Drosophila melanogaster: one gene and its partners. The protein of the gene in region 1 interacts with the protein of each later gene in a pairwise test. Each region holds a gene or a part of one and is shown on either strand. Other genes may lie near its edges.

Region 1 (4,406 bases):
AATGATGCACCATAGACCCATAGCCCCATACCCCGCCCATGGTCTTAACCCACATGTTGCCCCTGAGTCGCATGGCCTTAACCCTAACCTAGCGCAACTTTTGTCGACTGAATTCGTTTAACTCGTGTGCGGGGGAAAAAACGCCAAAACTAAACTCAGCGTGTGTGCACGAAAGAGAGGGGCGAGCGCTAAGAGGGAGTATGAGAGGGAGAGAAAAACACATGGTTCCAGGCCACGCGAATCTGCGATATAAAATGCATCCTTAGAAATTACAGAAGAAAACAATTGCAGATAAAAAAAACAGCAACAACAACAAAATGGGTGGACGAGGAAAGAGCGAAAGGCGCAAGAAAAGGAGAAACAACAATTATTGAATGAGTTGGCTACTGCTCCTTCTTCTCATTATTATTCTCCTTCATCAGCTTCTGCAGCCGCTTTGTTTTTGTTTTATGCATGTGTGTGTGGGTAAATGTGAGTGTGTCAAAATTTAGCAACAAAGAAATTTATATTAAGTCATGCTATTGACGGCAACAACAAAAAAGCCAGCTAACTTAAACTTACCATTTTGATTCTCCTGCTTACTGCTAACGGTGGTTGTTCTTGATGTTCGTCCCTCCGATGGTTCTTGTTGTTGTTGTTAACCACAAAAAAAAAATCAACAGACCGCGCACCCACGCGTTTTTCGTTCTTTTCTTGGTTTTTTTTTGTGTTTTGTTTAAAATTTATATATTAATTTCTTTTTAACAATGCGTTTTTGATGCTGTCAACGGAACAGAACAATTGTGCGGCAAGTTAGATAGCAAATGCAGCAAATATAAAAGGCTGGACTCCGCAATTTTCAGCGCGTTAGAAATGTTTTTGTTGTTGTTGTTCTTCCTGTTGTTATTGGTGTTGCGATAATGACTGCATGCGTGTGTGCATGCGTGTGTGTTGTTGTTGTTGAGTGTGTTTTTCTTTTGTTGCTGCACGCGGTATTTCGCTTCGGATAAATTTGTTCGTATGCGTTGTACCGCGCAATACACGCAAAACGAGGAATCGGAATAAAGGAGGAAGGAAACGAGAACGAGACGAGAATGAAGCGACGAAGCCGAAAACACACGTAACATGCCAACTATCGCAACTAACGAGATGCCAACTAGATAGAGCTGGAAAAACATCGATGAGAATCGATAATGGTGAAGCGAGAAAACGTCAGTTTGACGATTATTGATAAGAATGCCGATGTATACTAAAACTTATATTTGGGCACACTTATTTATAGCGTGTTTGCTCTAAAAATATTAATAGCTTAATATTACTTATAATATATATATATGGAAAATATTTTAAAAATATAGATATTTAAATGAAAACATTTTAAATTGCACAAAGGGAGACATAATAAACTTACTTGGTATTTAAACAAATCTATCGGTCTGGCACGCGGTGCACACAAGACTATCGATAAATGGCGCGCGTCTTATTTCTTTATATTTCATGATATATATCCGTTAAATTCTAATCACGTTACAACAAAGTATATGCAAGTTTAACATGGTAAATGAGAAGCGAGCTTCAGCTGTTGCATTTAAATAAATGATGCCAACTGCAATGTACATTAATGCATTTAAATATGTTTTGCCAACTTTAATGTTCAGCTAATTTGTTTATGAAACTGAAAGTAATTAGAAGACTTTCAATCTAAAAAAAGTATAGAAAAAATATATATTGACATTCAAGATATTTAAGATACTTGTGGGGTATTAATTTGCAAAATTTCTGCAAACTTCGACGCTATCGATAAGCATCGATTATTCTTTTTCTTCCACCTCTAGCACCACATGCGTGTTGTTGCTTGGGCATCAAAATTTGTCGGTAAGTCTGGTTTTCCCGCTTTCAATTTCGCAATCCGCCGACACAAGTCCCTAAAAGTCCGCCGATTTCAGACGGTCCGCGTTGCTGATTGTTATTGAGAAGATAAGGAACGAGAAGAACCGGTACTACGCCAGGAGACAGGACTCAGGATCAAAGGCTTCCACGGACACGAAAAGGAATCCACATAGCTAACGAAATGCCTAACGACACTGTGGTAAAGGTGCAGGAGTACAAGGACTCGTTGATCCTCAAGGCAGAGCTGCTAATCACCAAGGGGTTCCCGGAGAATATCGTCCGGCTGAACGAGCTGCTGGCCACGCCGATCTTCAACGAGCGCAACTTCGAAGAAGTGCACCAGGACCTCAACATCCCGGTCCTGCCGCCTCTCCTGGTTAAAAACGAGTTGGAGGATCGTGACAGTCTGCCCACCAAGCGCCAGCGCGTGGATGTCATCGTCTCTGGGCAGCCTGTCATGGGTCTGCCCGCCGGTACAGTGCCGTGCAACAAGCCGCTCTGCGAGATGATCAAGGTCGTCAAGCCTATCATCAGGAAGCTTGTGGAGGATTGTAAGTACACCGTATATTCAAGCGTCTCAACCTAATAAATGTTTTTATGCTATTCAAGAGCCCCTTCAATTTTCCTAAAACAATGAATTCCAAGAATTTTTACATTCGAACGGTACAAATGCCAGTAGCTAAAGTTTTGCCTGACATTAAGCTTTTTAATGAATACCTAGTAATTTCTGAATTGATTTCTTTTGCAGCCAATCTACTTAAGATGTGGATCTCCTTTATGATACCCAAGATCGAGGATGGCAACAACTTTGGCGTCTCCATTCAAGAGGACACGCTTGCCGAAATTCAAACTGTGGAATCCGAGGCGGCCGCCTTCTTTGACCAGATATCGCGCTATTTCTTGTCGCGCGCCAAGGTGGTGTCCAAGGTGGCCAAGTATCCGCACATCGATGATTATCGGCGCGCAGTCGTCGAACTTGACGAGAAGGAGTACCTCAGCTTGTGGCTGGTCGTTTGTGAGGTCCGCAATCGCTACTCCTCGCTGCACGACATTGTTATTAAGAACCTCGAGAAGCTAAAGAAGCCGCGCTCCTCAAATACCGAAAGCCTGTATTAGGCTAGGTATTTCCGAAGCCCGAGCCTCAACTTTTTTTTTTCCTTTCCATCATCTTACTTTTCAATCAATAATCAGCCCGTAGAGCGGACGGTCAGCAATTCTTGTCGCTACTCAAAAAGCTAAGATTTTCCAATTCGGTTTACAAACATCAAAATTCTTTAATTGAAGAGCAGTGATTGAACAATAGCTGTAGCCTAACTACCATCAACTATTAATCCATTTGTACTACGTCTAGAATGTAATGTTGAGATTGGCGTACAATACAAGAAACCGATGCTGTATAGATTCCACTAATAGCTATAGCTATGCATAAAAAGAATAGGCGAGCTCCATTGACACATTTTTTCAACATTTCCTAATGTAAATTTATAACACGGGCGCCCCTCATACGGAAAATGTCCTTAAAAATGTGTGAAATATAAATCTTTATAAGTAATTCGCTCCGAATAGGTAACACTGTGCTTGTTTTCTTGTTTTACGTATTGACTATGGGTTCTACTTTGGGGATTGATATCTATCGCAAAATCGAAACAGGCGCCCAGACATTTAATAAGGTGGAAATTATTGCATTCGATGCGGCCAATCGAAAAAGACAACCTTCTGATTTAACAGTTCAGAAAATTCTTAACGTTACTATGAATTAAAAATGCCCGCCAAAATGTCACATAGTAAATTCTTTTGCGTTCGATATTTGTTTAAAACTGGAAAAAAAAACAAGAATTAAATATTGCTTACCAAATCTACCAATTCTGTATATATGCACAATTTCTTTAAGTGTGTTTGCCAGACAGCTGCAATGCTATAGCTGCCTGCTACGGCACTTCGGTTCGAACATGTTCGCTTCAAACGCCCGCCAAACAGAAAATTCAAAACACCAAATGGTTTAAAAAAAAGGAAGTGTATATTGAATAAATCAAGAACATAATTACTATTTACAGCTAGTACTATCGAATTTATATTTACAACTAATTTAACTACATCTCGACCCCATACATACAAAAACATACATAAAAAACTAACATCTCTAGTTTTTTTCTCACAATTTTAAAAACTATCACTTAGAATAGCTGACGGAAAACAAACAAAATAAGAATATTCTTGCTGGTGTGTGCTAAATTTAGTTGCGTGGATTATTTATAGTAATGCATTAAGTTAGTGCTAATACTTTCGATTTCTTTTTTTTTTATTTAATTATTTTCTTTTGATCCTAACTCGTGTCCGGTAAATTGGACTTTCGATTCGATTTCGAGGCACTTTTAATTTGTTGTTGGCAGTGGTTAAGTATATATTCTATATTCGGAATTTTCTCGTCGTTCCCTACAACTTAGCCTGTAAGGCTTAAATCTATATATGACAATAACATTTTTCACAAAGATTATCAACGTTTTGGGCTTAGCTAAATCTTTAAATCTAAGCTCAGT
Region 2 (3,284 bases), on another chromosome or scaffold:
ACAGAAGTCTCGGCGGTTTTGTGGTTAATGCAGAGCTGGAGGCCAGGCGGAACCTGTACGTGGCCGGTGATGCTTCCTGCTTCTTCGATCCTCTGCTGGGCAGGCGACGGGTGGAGCACCATGATCACTCGGTGGTCTCTGGTCGGCTGGCCGGCGAGAACATGACGGGAGCAAGTAAGTTACTGGGCTTAAAGTTAATAACCGATCGATCATAATGTTCGCCGTACCTTTTGCAGAGAAACCTTATCAACATCAGAGCATGTTTTGGTCCGATCTAGGTCCAGAGATCGGATACGAGGGTATTGGCTTGGTGGATTCCTCGCTACCCACCGTTGGTGTGTTCGCCCTGCCCTCGGAATCCGCCACGCGCGTTGACCAACTGTCTGAGTCTAGTGATTCCGACGTGCCGGAGACCAGTACGAGTTCCAGCCAGTCGTCAAAATCTGATGCCGGGGCTAGCCAAGATGGCGTTACCTGTGATCCCGATGAGGCGGGCAACTATGGCAAGGGTGTAATATTCTACTTGAAGAACGACAAGATCGTCGGCATCCTGCTGTGGAACCTCTTCAATCGGATAGGCTTAGCTAGGACAATAATCAATCAGAATAAGAAGTACGATGACCTCAATGAGGTGGCCAAACTGTTCGAGATTCACGCGTAGAGAACAGCGAGTCCCGAGGGACCATGGAGAAGATCTGGCTACCCTGATATGCTTATCAGCACGCACCGAACAGAACCTATCCAACCCGAATGCCTTTAACTGTGTTTACTGTGTACATTTGCAACTGCAACTAGATACGAACGGCAATGACGCAATGCAACAGAAATTTTAGTTTTATTATTTTTGGAATAAACCTTATTTTGTAGTCAACGACATTGATTCGGTTATGTAGCAGCAAAGTGCATATCTCCGTGTAAATATTGAAAAGTCGTAGACAAGCGGGTCTCTGTTGAATTGTGTGTAACTTTCGTAATAAACCAAGCACCAGAAAGTTGTTGACAAAAAATTCACCGTACCAACTAAACTGTTCAAATTATTCATTTTCGGTGTTGAAAAATCCGCTTTTTGATCCTGAGGCACCCGTTATTTAACTAATCCTAAGAGATTTTGCTTTGATTCTTATTTAAATAAATCGTAGGAACTTTGGAACTTATTTTTTTTACTTCAATCATATAACCCATTTGTTTATTGTCCGAGTTGTCTCACAACGGCACAGAATTTAAATGTACATATTTTTTTGGAATTTTCCCAGAATTTGACTAAACCATCTGCCTTATAAAAGACGAGCACCTGGTTTAGGGTTTTAGGCTGGATTAGCTGAATATAGCGAGGATCAATAAAATTCGCGAAATATTATTTTCGCTGAAGTAGGATCCTACCTGACTTCTTGTGCCAAAGGTGGTTACTTATTAGGGCCACTCGGATTACCGACCAATTGGTAGGTAGAGCCCGAGAACGGGTGGCCCATAAGCAGGTACATCCTTGGGATATATAAACTTTGCCCTGAGACAAGCAGGACATCAGTTCCTTCTCGACAGTCTAATCATGAAGTACCGCATGTTGAATAAACGCAAACAGGCGACTCCCTCGCCAGTAAGAGATTCCGACGCAGCCGACGTAGCCATGGCCAACCACAGTGCTCTGGAACTGGAGGCGGCTGCGGCTCTCTTGTTGCTCCGCTACCAATACGATCGACAAGTGTGCAATAACATTATAACCTACACGGAGTCCTGTTCCCCGACTCCACCGCCGGCAGTTGCTGACAACACGACGCCAAAAGATCAGACTGTTCGTCCGCCAGTCGCCAGCCAGCCGCTGAAGAAGCGCTCCATACCATCGCACATCCTCCGCAGATCCCTGACTCCGGCCAAATCCGAGACTTCAGTGAGCAACAAGTCGATAGTCAAGGCCAAGACGAGGACTCCAATTCCCAGTAAGGAGCGAAACTGCAACAGGACCTTGCTTAAGTCCTGCAGAAATATGATTCGAGAGTTTTTGGACAATCAGGAGTTTATCTAAAAAAAAAAGTTTAACTATGTATCCTAGGATAACCGCCTGAAACCAATTCTACATTTGTAATTTTACACAAATCAAGATTTTAGAAATCTTCGCAAAAAACGCCACAGTGAATTGCACGATTGCAGAAAAGATCGAAACGAAATCCTTAAACAAATGTAGCCCAGTATATAACAGTCCCGAGAAAGATGAAGGCGATCGATCCTTGGGATCTTGGATTTCAGTTTTCAATTTATTTATTGCATATAAATTTGTTTCCTTTTTTATACATATATAAATTATGTATTGATCGAAAGATAACGTTTTCAATGGAAGAACAGGTATTGTGGCGACACTAGAGTGCTAATTATTAGCTATTGGCGGTGTTTAAACTTAAGGCGTACGAAAAACAAATAGAAAATTAACTTTAGCGTAGATCTACACAATAATTAATAATTACAGTTGCACTACAGGCTAATTGTATGAACGTGCAGCGATGATATCTTCTCCTAACTCTGTTCATTCCGTTTAATGTAATTAATAAAGTGCTTCAAATGTACATTTTCTATTGTTTCATTGTGTTTTTAGCGGGTGAGTGCGTTGTGGGTGGTGGTGGGTTGTGGAAGTGTGGTGGTAAGATCGTAAGCGTTTTACAAACTAAAGTTGTTAATGCTTAAATGAACACCTTCATTTGCTGCCACAGCGATTGCAGCCACTTAAACTAGCGTACAAATAATAAAAATAAAATTAAGAGCAATAGAAAACTAATGTGTATACATATATGCTTGTGTGTATCATCATTGCTATATTAAAATGGAAGCCAATGTTTTTCTATCCGTGTTTCTTGTTGCAGTGTATCTAGGGCTAGGGGCTCAATTGAAATTGAATTTTGAAAGCTCTTTTTCCAGGCTGATCTTGAAGCAAGAGCAGACCCATCCTCGCACGAAGGATCGCCAAACTGTTGCAGGATGGCTTTTTGGAACTGCTCTGGTTTCGTTAGCATTCAGCCAATGTGAATCAAAGATAATTCTGTTGTTATCACACGAAATCAATTTGTCTTGTTGTATACAAAAACTCTTTCTATGCTGATTTGTATATTAATTAACAATTTCGACAACAATTCAAATTTCATATTTCCTTCACATTCTCTCTTTAGATTTTAACAATATTTGTTTGTTTTTTGTTCTTTTTTTTCGTTTTCATAAATTTGAAACCATTGTTGAGGCAACATTTGTAAAGCTCAAAGGTGGCAACACTTACGGTCTAAGCTACTGGCTAATTTCTACTC
Region 3 (6,834 bases), on another chromosome or scaffold:
CTTTATTTTACGCTTTGATTGTTTATCCCGGCCAATGCCTTGAACTTTCCCATGGAGAGCGTTCTCCGCGTTTAAAATTAGCTGAGTTTTATATTTAGAACACTTGAGATCGATTTAATTGCGGTGTGATTTTAAATTGGCTTTTGAACTTTCGTAATGGATTCGATCGACCATGAACGGTTGGATATCCGCGAAATCAGAGGTCACTTACATAATTCGATTTCACTTGACGCGTCTTGCCGCACTCAAAACTGCCACTGCCAGCTGGTAGCACATGAATATATATATATATATATATATATATATATATATATATATATATATAGGGATATATATATTTTCCTGATATCTAGCCACAGCGCGACATGAAAATTCAGCTACGGTCTCGTTCGACGATCGTCTCCCAGCGAACTGAAATCTCAATCAGATTCTAAACAGCACTTTTACTGCAGTCCGCGGTCCCCAGTCGTCGCCCGAGTAGGAGGAAGTCAACGCAGATCTATGTGCTCCTCTGGTCTCGTCTGGTACGGTTTCCCCCTGGTGATCCCCTCAATCCTCGATCAGTCGCATCTCTTTCCTATTTTCAGCATTTTCGCGTTGTTTTATAAATACATCGTTTTCGAGCGGCATAGAACATTTTGACTGCGAGACGCCGTCGCGTGTGTGAATATCATTAATTCTCGAATATATATCATTCTCAGCTATTTGTTGTTAAACATTTTACGTTGTTATACGGAACTGATTACTTGTTGCGTTTCTTTTTCATGAATGAAAATATGACAATTGTATCGAATTGATGTCCTGCGATCTGATCGACTATTGAACTTTATGGCGTACCTACATATATCATTACCAAAGTTCAAGTTCAATGGAATTTCAGATAACATAAATATTTCCGCATTAATTCTTATTATTTATCTAATATTTTATCCAAAAAACCGTGGCGCCTGGGGAAAGCGCTGAATCGTTCATCGGGATACACGCCAGCTATAATTATGATTTATGAAAAACAAGTATCTGAAGGGATCTCCCGCAGTTTAGCCTTGAACAAATTCTGCACATTTAATGCTAACAATAAAGAAGAACATCTATTAATTTTGGATCGAACAAATGGTATCAGCAATAAAAGCATCGCCATGGGCCACCTGCTGCCGGCCGGAGGTGCAAATCGAGTGGCAATTTCGATGGATGGACGATGGATGGGAATTATGGAATTAAAGCCTCCGTGGGTGGGTCCATTTTCGGTTTTCCTAGCTAGCTGGTCTAAAAATAAATACAATGCATAATAAATTGGCTGCGCGACAAAGTCAAAGTTCGACAATTGCCGGCACGCACATTTTCGGTTGGGAGACCATTTGCCCACCATCCTGCAAAAATGGGTGGGCCGCCCACGCAGTGACCTTGCCGCGTTTGACGCAAGCCGATGTTTTCAGGATCAGCTGACTGTCAGCTGTATGTAAACAAGTTAAAATGCCGGGTTCCTCTCCTTCGGCCACTGCAAAGCATTCGGGAAGCTTTCCCATGAGCGCTTGTGTAGAAATCGCGCGCCATTTTCCGGCCGAGCTTTTCCCGAGCAATATTCTATTCGAAGTGGCATGTAGATATTATGTAGATTTTCTTGCAATCGATAACAGCTGCGAACGTAAAGCCCTTCGAATGTTAACGAAACCCCTGAGTTTTGGCCAGCATTTTCCGGCTGCATTCGCGAAATGTTCGCTGCAGGCAATGGACGCGAGTGGAAAACTCAAAGGAAAATATTTACGGTTAGCCTGCCGCCATCGTGTTGCGTGTACAAAAGGGGCGTGTGCGTGCGCTAGTGTGTGTGAGAGAGTGTGTAGTTGTGGGCCAGGGGAATTGAGAATTTACTAGTAGTATCCCAGTTGGGCGCTCAAGCAGTACGTGCGAAAAATTAAGCGTTAAAAAAGTGCCTTTATAATTTACCGATTATCCTGACATTACTTTGCCCTATACTAGTTTAGTAGCCCAAAAACCTACGATCATTCAATCAGGTATATATTTAAAACAAAAGAAGCTGAGTGTTTGCTTAGCAAAAAGTTGCATAAATTGGCAAAAATAATAATGAAAATTAATCAAAAAGGGTGACGAATTTAAGGTACAAGAATTTAAGCTTGCAAAGTACATGAAGTGCGCCAAAAAAACTGCAGTGCAATGTTCACCTTCACCCAGTGTGTATGACATGCAGGCAAATGAAAAATCGATACCAGAAGCATCAGCAGTTGCAACGCTCTACGACCGCTCCCAATTAGCCACAAGGAACTGCATCATCGCGCAGCAGGTCCCTTGAGCCCGAACATCGTACTTCCAGTGGACTTGGGGCAGGACACTATCTCCATGGTGGATGCCAAGCCGCAGCCACCCACTCCGGGCGCAATGCCTGGAACGGGAACACCGCCGGGCGGATTCGCCGGCGAGCGATCGAAGATCAAACTGTTCATGGAACGGACGCCCAGCATTGGAGCCCTCAAGTCCAAGTTCCTCACCGTGCTGGGCAACAGCAACGAGCTGCTCAACGGAATATCGAACAAGGTATGACTACAACTAGTGATGACAGCGTGAGCAGCGTGGTAAAAGATACAAATACTACAAGGGTCATGGTAGTACTAATTAGGGATTAGTTACTAAAGATTGTTTTAAACCTGGCACTAAGTTACGTTAGCTGGTTATTACTTTGTTAAGATGCTATGTAGGATTCATTACATAAAATACCATAGACATATTTCATGGACTCACGAGTGACTGTGGGTCACGCATACCTCTAGGGCTCAGTTGGGGCAGCCTTGGTAATGAACGCGACAAGAGGTGCTTGCTGGTGGTTGCGGGGGGAAAGGGGATTGTGTGTGGGTTCTGTCTATGCTGCAAAAGCAGAAGCAACTGACACTTTGATGCTTTTGTTGTGCCGTTGTGTTTGTTCTTGCTATTTCCGCTTTGCTGCTGCACTCGGTTGACCTTCAGTGGGGAGGCCCGAATCCCAATCCCAGTCAGCGCTTGGGGCATGTGCCGGCTATGGATGGGGCTAGAAATGCAAAAAGGGGGGGGGGGGGTACATTCTCTGCTGCTCCGCTTGTACTTGACTTTCTCTCGCTTCGGGCTCGGCAGCCTTGTCCTTGATTGAAATTAATTATATTTGCAGCAGCCGAGAAGAAGGAAGGCGTGCAGCCTTCGATATTTCTAAAGCTATGTTTTCCTTGGATTATCAATCATTCAGAACTGTGTGTTAAGTAATCATTGCAGATTTTTAAATTGCATTTATCATGCTTCTAATGTATGATACGAACCACTTGTAGGAGTTCCAAAACTTAGCGGAATCCTTTTATAGCAGGTAGAAACCTTTTCAAAATACGTCAGGCAGTTGTAAATCAAACTGACTCAATTAGGCCTCAGATATATACATATTCGAAAGTATATTCAGTACACCCCACATATGATCGACTTTCTTTTGAAATGCGCCTTTTACTTTGTTTACGTACAGCTGACCCTGAGCAGCAGTTCCAGCGACTCTGATTACTGCGATGACGATGAAGATATACCCAAGTGTGAGTACTGCGAAGTACCATAGATACAAACGAATACAGTTTGGGCATACAATATGATTTTACTTCACAGTTGACGAGAGCATTGATTATACCAAGATCGACTTCGAAGGACGACGTGTGAAGGCGCGACGAGCTCACGAGGAGATCATCTCAGGACGATATCGTCAGCCCAATTTGGCACCGAGTAAGTACAACACAACTACAAACCAAATCATCGGAGTCCTATATTTCAACTCATTTTTAGGGCCACGTCTGGAACCATCACGTGGGCGTCATGCGGCCAGCAAACTGGGTGCACCCCTTCGCTCCAGCTCCGGCTCCTCGAGCAGCTCCAGCAGCAGCGACGACAGCAGCTCTGTATCCCTGCCCGAGCATATGGCCAATCGTTCTCATGACGTGAGCAGCACCACACGCTCGGATTCCATAGAGTCGCGTCACTCCGGCGGATATGAGAGGGCCAGGGCAATCGCAGGAGCCCGTCGCAGCGAGATGGACATGCAAAAGGATGTCCAGAGGATCGGCGAAGTGGGCGACACTGTGCCGCCGCACATAGATGTTCAGCCGCCGACGGAGGCGGGAGCGGGATCCGGAGGACGGCAGCAGTGGGCGGGCGGAAGCAACTCGATGCGCCTTCCGTCGCGCAGTCGCGCCTCGAACAGCAGCACTCTGACCAGCCTGCGCGATGAGCCGGATCAGCTATTGGCCAGCCCCAGCATGGAGTCCACCGACTGGCGGCACTTTATCCGATCGGAGTCGCAGAACTCGGTGCCCTCATGGGCTTCCTCCATCAGCCTGGATTGCCGAGCGGGCGAGGAACCGGTCAAGGAGTTTATGAAGCACTTTACCGCTCTGCTATTTGGCGGATCTCCGGGAGCCGTTGATCTTGAGCTGAAGTCGGAGTTTGGCGTATTGCTGCGTCTGGAGATCGGTCGACTGTGGTTCACCCGCTTTCTCACCGAGCAGCGCCACAAGTCCAAGCGACTGGACTCGGTCACGTTCGGCAGTCTGGCCCAATACTTTGCACTGGCCCTGTTTGAGTGCAGCGAGTGCGAGGATTATGGCCCGGCTGCGGTACTGATGAACCTCTGTTTCCTTTTCTACCACGAGGTCGAGGTGCCCGGCTGCGATCCTTATCGCGAGTACCTGTTCTCCTCGCTGCGCCAGCAACCCATCTGGCAGCAGGCGCGGTTCTGGAACGCAATCTTCCACGACGGCATGCAGGCGGAACGGGAGCATCGGGGTCAGAGCCAGATGAGGCGCCAAAAGCGTCGACAGCAGAAGCAGCAGCAACGGCAGGCAGCTGCCGGAGCAGGATCAGGAGCGGGAACTGCAGATGGCCCGCCTACCAAGTCGCAGCGCAAACAGGGCGGCGACTCCTCCTCCAGCTCCTCGCATCAGGCGGCACAGTCGGGCACTCCGGCGGCTCAAGCCTGCACTGGTTCCATTCCAGCCAACCGGAGGCCCAGCAAGACCAGTCTCACCCAGGCGCATTCGCTTCGGGACCAGGAGGACATTGCATTTCGGCAGCTTGGGTGAGTTCTTCTTGATTCTGGAAATGTTTCATTTTTCCAAAGTGTTTATTATGGAATACACACTTATCCACAGGGCATTGACGTGCAATATGCACTCACTGGGGACATCCCAGGAATTGTGCCTTGACTTTCTGAAAAAGAACGTGGTGGCCCATAACCTATCCAAGGGTAAAAGCATCTAAAGTTTTCTAAATTATTGGAGTAACTAATATAGATTTCAATTCATCCAGATAAAGCCAAACTAATCAGAGACAATATATATCGAATGTACCATGAGACGCAACTTTGGGGAGCTCGACACGCCTGAGGTGATTTAACAGCTATCAATTAATTAATTAATTGCTAACCCTTTTTTTTCTTAATTCACAGCAGTAACAATTGTAAAAGTACCTAACAAAATCGAGTTTCAATCTTCGTCTCAACTAAAGCTAAACTTTTGTCTTAAGTCAGCCGACACCTCGAAACTAATCCTAACTAAAGTAGCAGATCAATGAAGTTTTATCTGAAATCTGGTGTTTTTACTCGCGTTGTCGTAACCGTAAAGATATTAATACGATAGTCATTCTTGTAACTGGATTTGAAATATAATGAATGTATGGGGAAATGCTTGTATTTATTTTAACATCTATAAAGACGAATATTATATAATGTTGTTAATAAATTGGGATTTCTAAAGACGTCATCGTTCAATTTTCAACGTAGCTAAACAAATTGGAATCGCATATCAAAATTAAGTTTGGAATCAAAACCAGTTACAAGAACATCCGTACTGCGAATGATAAGAGGGCACTTTAACCAATACTGTACGTGTATCCATAAATTGTGATAATAATATTTTGTGATTACTTTATATAGACCTAAATACTATGAAATTATGCAGTGCATATAGTTAAAATATCGCAGTTTAAATTGTTACAAATCAAGATCAATAACTATGCTATAACTATGTTTGTAATGAAAGAGATAATATTTCGCAATTGTTTAATACATTCAAATTAATAAAAGTCTAACGAAATTCAAAAAAATTTAATTAAAATTATTATAAAATAGTTTTTCTTTCAACACGTCCGCCTAAAAGTAGGTAATTGATTTTTAAGAAGGAAAGTCAACGAAAACACAATATGGATTCTTATATTCTCTGTTCTTTATTAAAATGATACAACGCAAAAACATTATTCGCTTAACTTCTTTTTATTTTTTTGTGTGAATGAAATATGTTTAAAATAAATTAAAATTTTGATTTGTTAGTCGCATAAATAAGACTGGAATTTCTTAGTTACTGTGGTTGTTGCTTTAAAAATTGCACTACTTAGAGGTTCTTGAATACTTTCCAGTTTGAAAAAAAAATAATCGACATTCAGCTTAGATCAAAATGTTTCGTTCTCCATGATTTGCATACATTTAACAATTATAATTTATTTAGTTGCTTCTTTGTACAAATTGAACAAGCCTAGGCGATGTGCGGGAAACAAAGAATTTTTCGGGCATGTTTCAACATTTATAAATTAAAACTAAATACAACTGACAGAAAATAATGATCGTAATTACAAGAATTCATAATGAAATAATATGATAAATATTAATAATAATAACTGATAGCAATAGACAAGCTAAAAGCTATAACAACAATTGCGTGTGTACGATTTGAACTTTAATTTCAAGATTTTCGACTTTCTATTTCTCTATTAGGCCAGATGTTCAGAGTTCAATTGACGATCGGTCGGATCATTCCTTCGTATAAATATATA

The links. Proteins that work in one complex are often made in the same cells at the same time.
Region 2: the proteins of REG (region 1) and CG15382 interact in a two-hybrid assay, tested with the Drosophila melanogaster proteins (one large-scale study listed by BioGRID).
Region 3: the proteins of REG (region 1) and CG17378 interact in a two-hybrid assay, tested with the Drosophila melanogaster proteins (one large-scale study listed by BioGRID).

What each region holds. Positions count from the first base shown.
Region 1 is NC_004354.4:13,210,539-13,214,944, forward strand, and holds REG (proteasome regulator gamma), read left to right. Parts: upstream 1-1,786; 5' UTR 1,787-1,854; intron 1,855-1,911; 5' UTR 1,912-2,050; coding exon 2,051-2,420; intron 2,421-2,617; coding exon 2,618-2,985; 3' UTR 2,986-3,870; downstream 3,871-4,406. Other genes in the region: sno (strawberry notch), read right to left, coding at 562-564.
Region 2 is NT_033779.5:2,154,237-2,157,520, forward strand, and holds CG15382 (uncharacterized protein), read left to right. Parts: upstream 1-1,516; 5' UTR 1,517-1,546; coding exon 1,547-2,020; 3' UTR 2,021-2,554; downstream 2,555-3,284. Other genes in the region: AIF (apoptosis inducing factor), read left to right, coding at 1-174, 237-661.
Region 3 is NT_033779.5:6,772,341-6,779,174, forward strand, and holds CG17378 (uncharacterized protein), read left to right. Parts: upstream 1-1,700; 5' UTR 1,701-2,352; coding exon 2,353-2,547; intron 2,548-3,371; exon of another isoform or gene 3,372-3,442; coding exon of another isoform or gene 3,443-3,490; coding exon 3,491-3,554; intron 3,555-3,624; coding exon 3,625-3,738; intron 3,739-3,798; coding exon 3,799-5,086; intron 5,087-5,159; coding exon 5,160-5,254; intron 5,255-5,316; coding exon 5,317-5,393; 3' UTR 5,394-5,394; intron 5,395-5,455; 3' UTR 5,456-6,104; downstream 6,105-6,834.